2 linked regions of the Callithrix jacchus genome follow. The protein of the gene in region 2 purifies or fractionates together with the protein of the main gene of each other region. This does not show direct contact. Links are inferred from orthologs where the notes say so. Each region holds a gene or a part of one and is shown on either strand. Other genes may lie near its edges. The genes, in order: RPAP2 and UXT.

Region 1 (3,825 bases), on a different chromosome or scaffold from region 2:
TGATTTGGCAAATTTTCTCTTAAAATGCTCCACACTTTTCTTACTTATGCCTACTAGAGTTATTTCTGACCTACTGTATTTACTTTCAGAATTTTCTGAAGCTTTTAATCTTTCAGGCAAAGTACTATTTGGAGAATTCTCAGTATTTACTTTCTGTAAGGGAAGTTCACCTGTAGCAGCTTTCTCCTGACTATCTAATTTGCAATTGCCTAACTGCTCAGTGACATCTACTACTGTCTGTTCTTTGTGTATGGAGTTAGCTTTGTGACCAGCCTTCTTTTTCATTATGCTTTTCTGGTGCAGCTGTGGTCTAATACTTGTTGAATTTGGTCTGTTTCCTGGTAGAATGGAGGAAACAAAGTCTTGCTCATTATCACTGCTACTATCACTATGAGTGCTGGAAGAACTAGATTCATATTGCTTTTCAAAGTGGCTAGTATTGTCTATATCTGATGTTTTAATGGCTTTACTGCATAACTCTACTTCTACTCCAGAATGGCCACTGTAAAATGAAAGAGAAATAAAATAATTAAATAATAAATGGCAAATAAAAACCAAAACAATAGGAAAGTAAAGTACCCCATAGTATTTATACATTGTAACTTTCAAGGTAAAAATTTTAATTCCCTTGGTAAAACCTTGTTTATAAGCTTCTGATATACAAATTTCAGAAAAAGCCTATAATTTCACTATATCTATTAATAATATATTTTTTGATATAGTTCTTCTTCGTTCATCTTTTTCCCCCAATTATTTAAAAATTGTTACAAGAGTACAACAAAAATTTTTTTAAAAACTTGATAATGCTATCCTACTGCAGTAGTTGGATTTGCCTGTTGTTGCAAAAATATATATATCAATATATATGAAGTATATATATATATTTATATTTATAATATATACATATATTTATATTTATATTCATATAAATATATAATAGAATATGTATATATAATATGTAAATTTATATCTAATATATGCTTATTTTATATAATATATGTATTTAAAATATATATATAATATAGTATGAAAAATAATATAAAAATATACATATTTTCGAGATAGAGTCTCAGTATGTTGTCCAGGCTGGATTGCGGTAGTGCAATCTCAGCTCACTGCAACCTCTGCCTCTTGGGTTCAAGCGATTCCCTCACCTCAGCCTCCCAAGTAGCTGGGATTACAGGTGGGTGACAACATGCCTGGCTAGTTTTTGTATTTTTTTTTTTAGCAGAGATGGGGTTTTGCCATGTTGGGCAGGCTGGTCTTGAACTCCTGACCTCAAGTGATCCATCCACCTTGGCCTCCCAAAAGTGCTGAGATTATAGGCATGAGCCACTGTGCTTGACTGACCTTTTTATTTTTTATTTTTGTATTTTACTTTTTAAAAATTTATTCGAGATGGAGTCTTGCTGTGTTGCCCAGGCTGGAGTGCAGTGGTGCCATCTTGGCTCACTGCAACCTCCACCTTCCAGGTTCAAGTGATTCTCCTGCCTCAGCCTTCCAGGTAGCTGGGATTACAGGCATGCACCACCATGCCCAGCTAGTTTTTGTATTTTAATAGAGATGGGATTTCACCATGTTGGCCAGGCTGGTCTTGAACTCCTGACCTCAAGTGACTCACTGTCTTGGCCTCCCAAAGTCCTGGGATTACCAGCTGACCTTTTTAAAAAAAGCTTTTCTTTTGAAAATTGTGGCTGGGTATAGTGACTCATGTATGCCTGTAGTCCCAGCTATTCGGGAGGCTGAGGTAGGAGAATCACTTGAACCCAGGAGGCGGAGGCTGCAGTGAGCCGAGATTGCACCACTGTATTCCAGCCTGGGTGATGCAGTGAGACTCCATCTCAAAAAAAGAAAAAAAAAAAAAAGAAAAGTTTATTACTGGTTTCTTAAATAAAAAAATTACAGGAATTGTGTTTAGGTTTGAAAAGATAAAGAGATAAAAATAAATGGGTAAATTCTCTAATTCTGGTTGTCATACAGAAAATTCTATAGAATGAAAATCACAGGAAACTGATAGCAGAAAAAGTTAGCAAATCAACAATTTTCAATAAAAGATATTTAAATTTGAAAATCCAGAATTACAACAGCATGCTAACAATAAAAAAACAAAAGTTGTCTCCGACTATGTTCTTCAATTTTCAGATTTAGTTTGAATAAGATGAAGAATTATGAAAGAATGAAGGCAAGAGTAGCTTCATCAATACAAACTTGAAACAAACAAGGATGTCCTCAAGCATAGACATATAGCAAAACTTTAAAAGATTGGGATGAAAAAGACTCTAGGTCAAGAAGTATGCTGTGGGGAAATGTAAAGGAAAAAAATATATTTAAAAAAAGGTGAAAGCAAGGTCATGGATGGGAATGAAGAAAAAAGATGAAAACTTAGTTCAGAATTAGATACCATCTTTTAGTCAGAATCTAGCCTATATAGCCATGGTGCTATCTCTTGCATCAGAAGAAAAGTAAAAACAGGTGTAACTTCAACAAAATTAGAACAATTTAACTTTCATGTATTTCATACTTCCTCTTGGAATAAGGCAATTATGTTTTTATACTAATCTGAAGGTATAAATTAAAGATATACATCAATAAATAGCAATCTCTTATTTGTGCCCAATGCCCTCTGACTAAGGTAGTGACTACTAACTAGGAACATTTATTCTGAGAGTTAAGGGATGTGTTTTGAGAGATGGCCATGGTCAGACAAACAATACCATGAGGAAAGTTAAGAAAAAAAATCACAACGTGGAATTTATATTAATGCTTTAGACACTCTTTAAATTATTAAGTAACTGATACATTACTGGTTTTGAAATCCTATATGACTATAAAAACCTTTCAACAAATGTAATAGGCACAATCTAGTTGACAAAGAAGCACAGTATCTGAGATGGAGGCTGTATTTGTGTCATATTTCAACAGGTTAAATTAGATTTCCTCGGTAGGAACAGCTGTACAATAAATCATACGGGTCAAACACATCATTTTACCATCACAAAAGAAAAAGCTGAACAGGTCAAATATTTCTTTCTGTGGGCTAGAATGGGACACTTACATAATGCATCAGCACAGGAAGTCCAAGAGCTCATACCACCTGGTTCACTCCTAATGTTTCTATTAACATAAATAAATAGATGGTAAATGATACTGATTCAACCATACCTTTGTCCTTCCTTTAGCAGTTGAAAATCGGGATGGCTGTAACAAGAATACAGAAATAGAAAACTGAAGGCAAGTGACATGTCAAATATTTTCAAGTTTTTATTAAACTTCAATATGTATAGTAGAAAATGTAATTAAAAGGAAGTAGTTCATTAAATTTTTTTTTTCTTTAAGAAAAAAGTTAAAGGATGACAAAGTACTGTGAAACTCATCAACAAGAAATCTGGATTAGTCTCACTCTTATTTGAACTTCACTCACTTTTCAGGGCTAAGTTCAAATTCCACCAGCCCTATAAAGGCTTCCTTGACTAATGTGGACTAAAGTAAATCCCTTCTCTAAGTTGTCTGAACAATGTAACATATTTAATCATGTACTCCTTTATGGCCTACTACTAGAACCATTAACTAAATGTTTAACTTTTCATGTTTTAGTCTGGTTCCTTAACTAGACTATAAGCTTCTTAAAGGCAGAGATTGTTTATAATTCTGTTGGATTTCCTTTATATGGTCATTAAGATTTTTTGCCTTAATTTCTGAGAAAGCAATTACATTGGAGTAGTAGCAACCCCCTGCTCCCCACTGCCTCCACCTCAGCCTCCTACAGTGCTGGGATTACCACCGTGCCAAGCCAACCCTTACAATTTAGTAGAAGAAAAATGTATG
Region 2 (4,509 bases):
TTAGTAGATTAATGAGTTAAATGATTAATGGCTTATCATGGGAGTGGAACTAGTGGCTTTATAAAAACAGGAAGAGAGACCTGAGCTAGCATGCTCGGTCCCTTCACTGTGTGATACCCTGTGCTACGTTGGGACTCTGCAGAGAGTCCCTACCAGCAAGAAGGCCCTCACCAGTTGCAGCCCTTCAACCTTGGACTTCTCAGCCTCCATAACTGTAAGAAATAAATTGTTTTTGTTTAGAAATTACCCAGTTTCAGGTATTCTGTTGTAAGCAACAGAAAACAGACTAAGAAACAGGCATATCCTAGGTTTCTTGTGCAAGTGTCTCTCTTGGATACATTCATGAGAGTGGACTCACTGGACTGTAAGGTATGTATGTATTCACTGTAGGAGAAAATGCGAAAATATTTTCTAAAGTGTTTGCAATGATTTACATTCCTTCAGCAGGGCAAGAAGATCCTGTTGGCCTACATACTCTCCAACTGTTGGTACTGTCAGACTTTTACGTTTTTGCAATTTGAATGGGTTTAAAATACCATTTTATTACGTCTTGACTTGTATTTTCCTAATGACTTTGAACATCTCTTTATATGCTGGCTCTACATTTCCTTCTTCTCTGAAGTGGTCTAACAGAGCTTTTTTTTTTTTTTTTTTGGTACTATTATGACATCCAAGAAAACTAACAATGATTCTTGGCACTCTATTAGAAGTGTATGCATGCCAAATATGTTTCCACGGATTCAATTTCTTCTTTCATTTATTCATTCAACAAACATTTGCCCAGACCAGGGATGCAGGGGCAGAATGACAAGCTGGGATAATCAAAGTTCAACTGCTATGATTCGAATGTTTGTCTCCTCTGAAACTCACATTGAAATTGCCATTGTAACAGCATTAGGAGGTGGGGCTTTTAAAAAGTGAATAGGCCATGGAGGCTCCACTCTCATAAACTGATTAATGCTGTCATTAAGGGAGTGAGTTAGTTACCAAGAGTAACTAACTCAAGAGTGGGTTGTTATAAAGTGAGCCCAGGCCCTTGTGCTCTTTGTTCATATGCTTCCTTGCCCTCTCGTCCTCTGCCATGGAATAATGCAGCAAGAAGGATGCTGGCACTATGCTGGACTTCCCAATCTCCAGAACTATGAGCCAAATAAGCTTCTTTTCTTTATAAATTACCCAATCTGTGGTATTCTCCTATAGAAGCAGAACATGGACGAAGACACCAATTGTCTAAGAAAATAAAAATGAAATCAGACTATAAAAATGTGCCCTGCCATTCACCAGAATGGAAGAACAGACACATATAAAGCCAAATGCAAAATTCACAGGAAACATTATTTCTTCTAAGGACATGCTGCAGTTTTAATGCCATAAAGAACCCCTACTTTAGGTGACTATTGCTTCCTTAGTCATGGAGACACTTTGTTCTCTACAATCATAGACTATCAGAAATTGCTGTTTGAAATTACATCAGTAAGAGTGAAACATCAGACTCTTGAGATTCCAAGTCACTTCCGGAGAAGCAACATTCAATTTTCAACTCAGGTGCAGAGCTTTAGGCAAGAGTTATCTGGGGACACAAAATTCTACAACTAAATTGTTTCCAAGGAAACAGCACTCTGGGTTCACTTCACAGTCCAGACCTGACATTGACCCTTTACATAGAGGGTCAATTTACACATTGGAGGTGATAAGGGGCAGCAAACTGGTGGAAGGGTAGAAGCAGAGCCTTGTATTAAAGCTACATTTCCAAAGCAAGGGCATCATGACTATATAGATTTGACTTCATGAGGAAATAAAAATAATAACTGCTTTGAGCCCACTAAAACATTGCTTCATTTCAATTTCATCTCAACTCCACTATTCCTCAAAATCATGTAAGAAGTCTCTTTTCCTTTGCTTAGTGAGCTGCCCATGGTGCCCCTGGTATGCAGTCTCCCTTATTGATTGATGGATCTGTCTGACCAAGAATTAGTTTGAGGCTAATTGGACTAGGACACCTCTAACCTTCGAGATTGTTAAACCGAGGACCAGAGGGGATAAGACTGGATGGAGAACCCCTAGCCAGTCCACACTTCAGCCTACACCGGGTCCTCTCACAGAAAGGCTTTCAGCAGGGCATACAGGCTTCTAGCTCTGTCAGGAAGATTCCCTGGAGAGGAGATACTTGAACTTGGTTTTGAAGGATGAATAGACATTCTTAGGTGGAGGACTGCACGACTTCTTCCCCTTCTGCTCTAGTGACATCTCCCACAGGGCAGGGACATCTCCAGAATTTACACATTGGAGGTGATAAGGGGCAGCAAACTGGTGGAAGGGTAGAAGCAGAGCCTTGTATTAAAGCTACATTTCCAAAGCAAGGGCATCATGACTATATAGATTTGACTTCATGAGGAAATAAAGATAATAACTTTTCCTAAAGATTTTTATTGACATACTGCGTTAGACTAAAGACATATTCAAAATTATCAGTACTGGTACACAGTCCCTTTTTAGTTAGGGTAGATGGAGTGGGAGATCAGGTAGATTGTTGGAGCATTAAAACCCCGCATCCAAGACCCACAGGCACAGCAGGAGGGAGAACCCCGCACTCCGAGTTCTCCCCTTTTCCCACCTCATGGCATATCCTAGGAAGGCTTGCACAACCCTGATTTCTCCTCCTCCTTCCCTTGTGGTATGTCCTAGGAGAAGCCTGTAGTCAACGTGACATCTCCCCGCTTCTCATCCTGTGGTATCTGCCAGGAGATAGCCGCGGCCGCCCCTGATTCTTTCCAAGAGGCCCTTCAGTTTCTCTGAACGGTATCGAACGGACCCATAGACTACAGATCCAAAGACCCCTCCTCCAGTAAGCCCGCCCAGAGAAACGTCCCCACCCGTGCTTCCCGCCATCAGCGGGACAGCTCCACCTCCCTGCTCTGTGAGTTTAGAGGTGTCCTCATCCTCAATACGGAATGGACACTACTCCAACATGGTGTACCCCATGGGGAAGCGCGACTTGGGCGCGGCCATGTTCCCTACCTGAACACGTCGCGGAGGGGCACCGAACATCCCAAACCCCTCACTTCCGTAATTTCTCCATGTTAACTCCTGGCTATTAGCGGCTTCAAACGTGGTTTTGCGCACGCGCGGACCCCCCTTTCCCTCACTCATGCGAAGTCCCAAACCCCGAAAAAGGGCGGTGCTAGGGGTAGTGACCGGAAGCGGCTGCGGTTCTCGCCGGTTCTCAGCCGGGGTTACATAGTTGTCAGGAGGATTCGACGTTCAGTGCCCAGGGATGTGGAGGTGATGGGGGACCGGGGTGGGTGAGTGCTAGGCGATTCTGTGTGGTCAGTGATGGAATCGTTTGTCTAACTTGAGTTGGATGATTCGCTCATCGTTTTTCAGGCTTTTCTCTTTTCTAATGTCACCCTTAAGGTCTTAAAGTTCATTCTAAGCCCCATTGGGTTTGGAGCATTGTTTTTTAAGAGTGTTAACTCGTATTCATTTGTCTTTTACTGAGGAGTTATTCAAAAGTGGGGTTTTCAGTGTGCAAAAGTTTCTTTGTAATGGATCTGTAACCTTAGTTTTCTGTGTTAGAAAAACACCTACGTGGAGCTCATTCCTTGAAATACAAGGAGACTTACGGCCTAGTGCGTAGTGCATTTTTAGAAACGTTCTGTATATACTTGAAAATAATATTTAATTATTTAGTGGTCAATTGTGTCATATAAAGTCTGTCCTTTTTTGTCTATTTCTTCTTTTACTTCAGGAGAGAGAAATTCTCCACTGTGATGGTAATTTGTCCGTGTCTCCTTACTGCTGTCTGTGATCCACTGTGAGTTACTTTTTGTATGAAGTATGAGACTTAGGTCGAGGTGCATTAACTTGCTTATGGATGTCCAGACTCAAGCACTATTTGTTGAAAAGACTATCTTTCCTCCATTGACTTGTCTTACCATTGTCAAAAATAAGTTGGCCATACTTATGTGTGGGCTCTTTCTGGGTTTGCGATTCAGTTCCATTGTCTATGTGTCTATCCCTCTGCCAGTACTACCATGCTGTCTTGAATTGGATAGAGTGATTCCTCGCACTTTATTCTTTTTCAAAAGTGTTTTAATGCCTCTGTTTCCTTTGCCTTTCCCATACACATTTTAGAAAATCTTGTCTCTATCTACAAAGCATCTTGCTTGGATTTTGATAGGAATTGCATTAAACATGTTTACCAACTCGGAAAGAAGTTAAGTTTTAACTGTGACAAATCTTCCAATCCATGTATATAGTATGTCTCTGTTTATTTAAATCTTTAAAAATTTCTGTCAATGGTATATTGTAATTTTTATCACACAAGTTCTGTACACGTCTTATTTAAATTTATACCTAAGTGTTTAATTTTTTTGGAGTGGTCGTAAATGGTGTTCTCTTTTAAGTTGCTGCTTATATATAGGAATACAATTGAGTTTTGTCTGTTGGTCTTGTATCCTGCAGTCTTGCTGAGCTCAGTTATTAGGTTTTACACCTTTTTTGGTAGAT

The links.
Region 1: the proteins of UXT (region 2) and RPAP2 purify together in Homo sapiens (affinity purification with mass spectrometry; 4 studies listed by BioGRID and IntAct, counting the BioPlex papers as one, with this or other methods). This does not show direct contact. The link is inferred for Callithrix jacchus from reciprocal best matches to the Homo sapiens genes UXT and RPAP2.

What each region holds. Positions count from the first base shown.
Region 1 is NC_133508.1:130,049,317-130,053,141, reverse strand, and holds part of RPAP2 (putative RNA polymerase II subunit B1 CTD phosphatase RPAP2), read right to left. Parts: intron 3,199-3,825; coding exon 3,163-3,198; intron 503-3,162; coding exon 1-502.
Region 2 is NC_133524.1:48,733,950-48,738,458, forward strand, and holds the start of UXT (protein UXT), read right to left. Parts: upstream 3,112-4,509; 5' UTR 3,049-3,111; coding exon 3,019-3,048; intron 1-3,018. UniProt on the Homo sapiens protein: Involved in gene transcription regulation. Acts in concert with the corepressor URI1 to regulate androgen receptor AR-mediated transcription. Together with URI1, associates with chromatin to the NKX3-1 promoter region.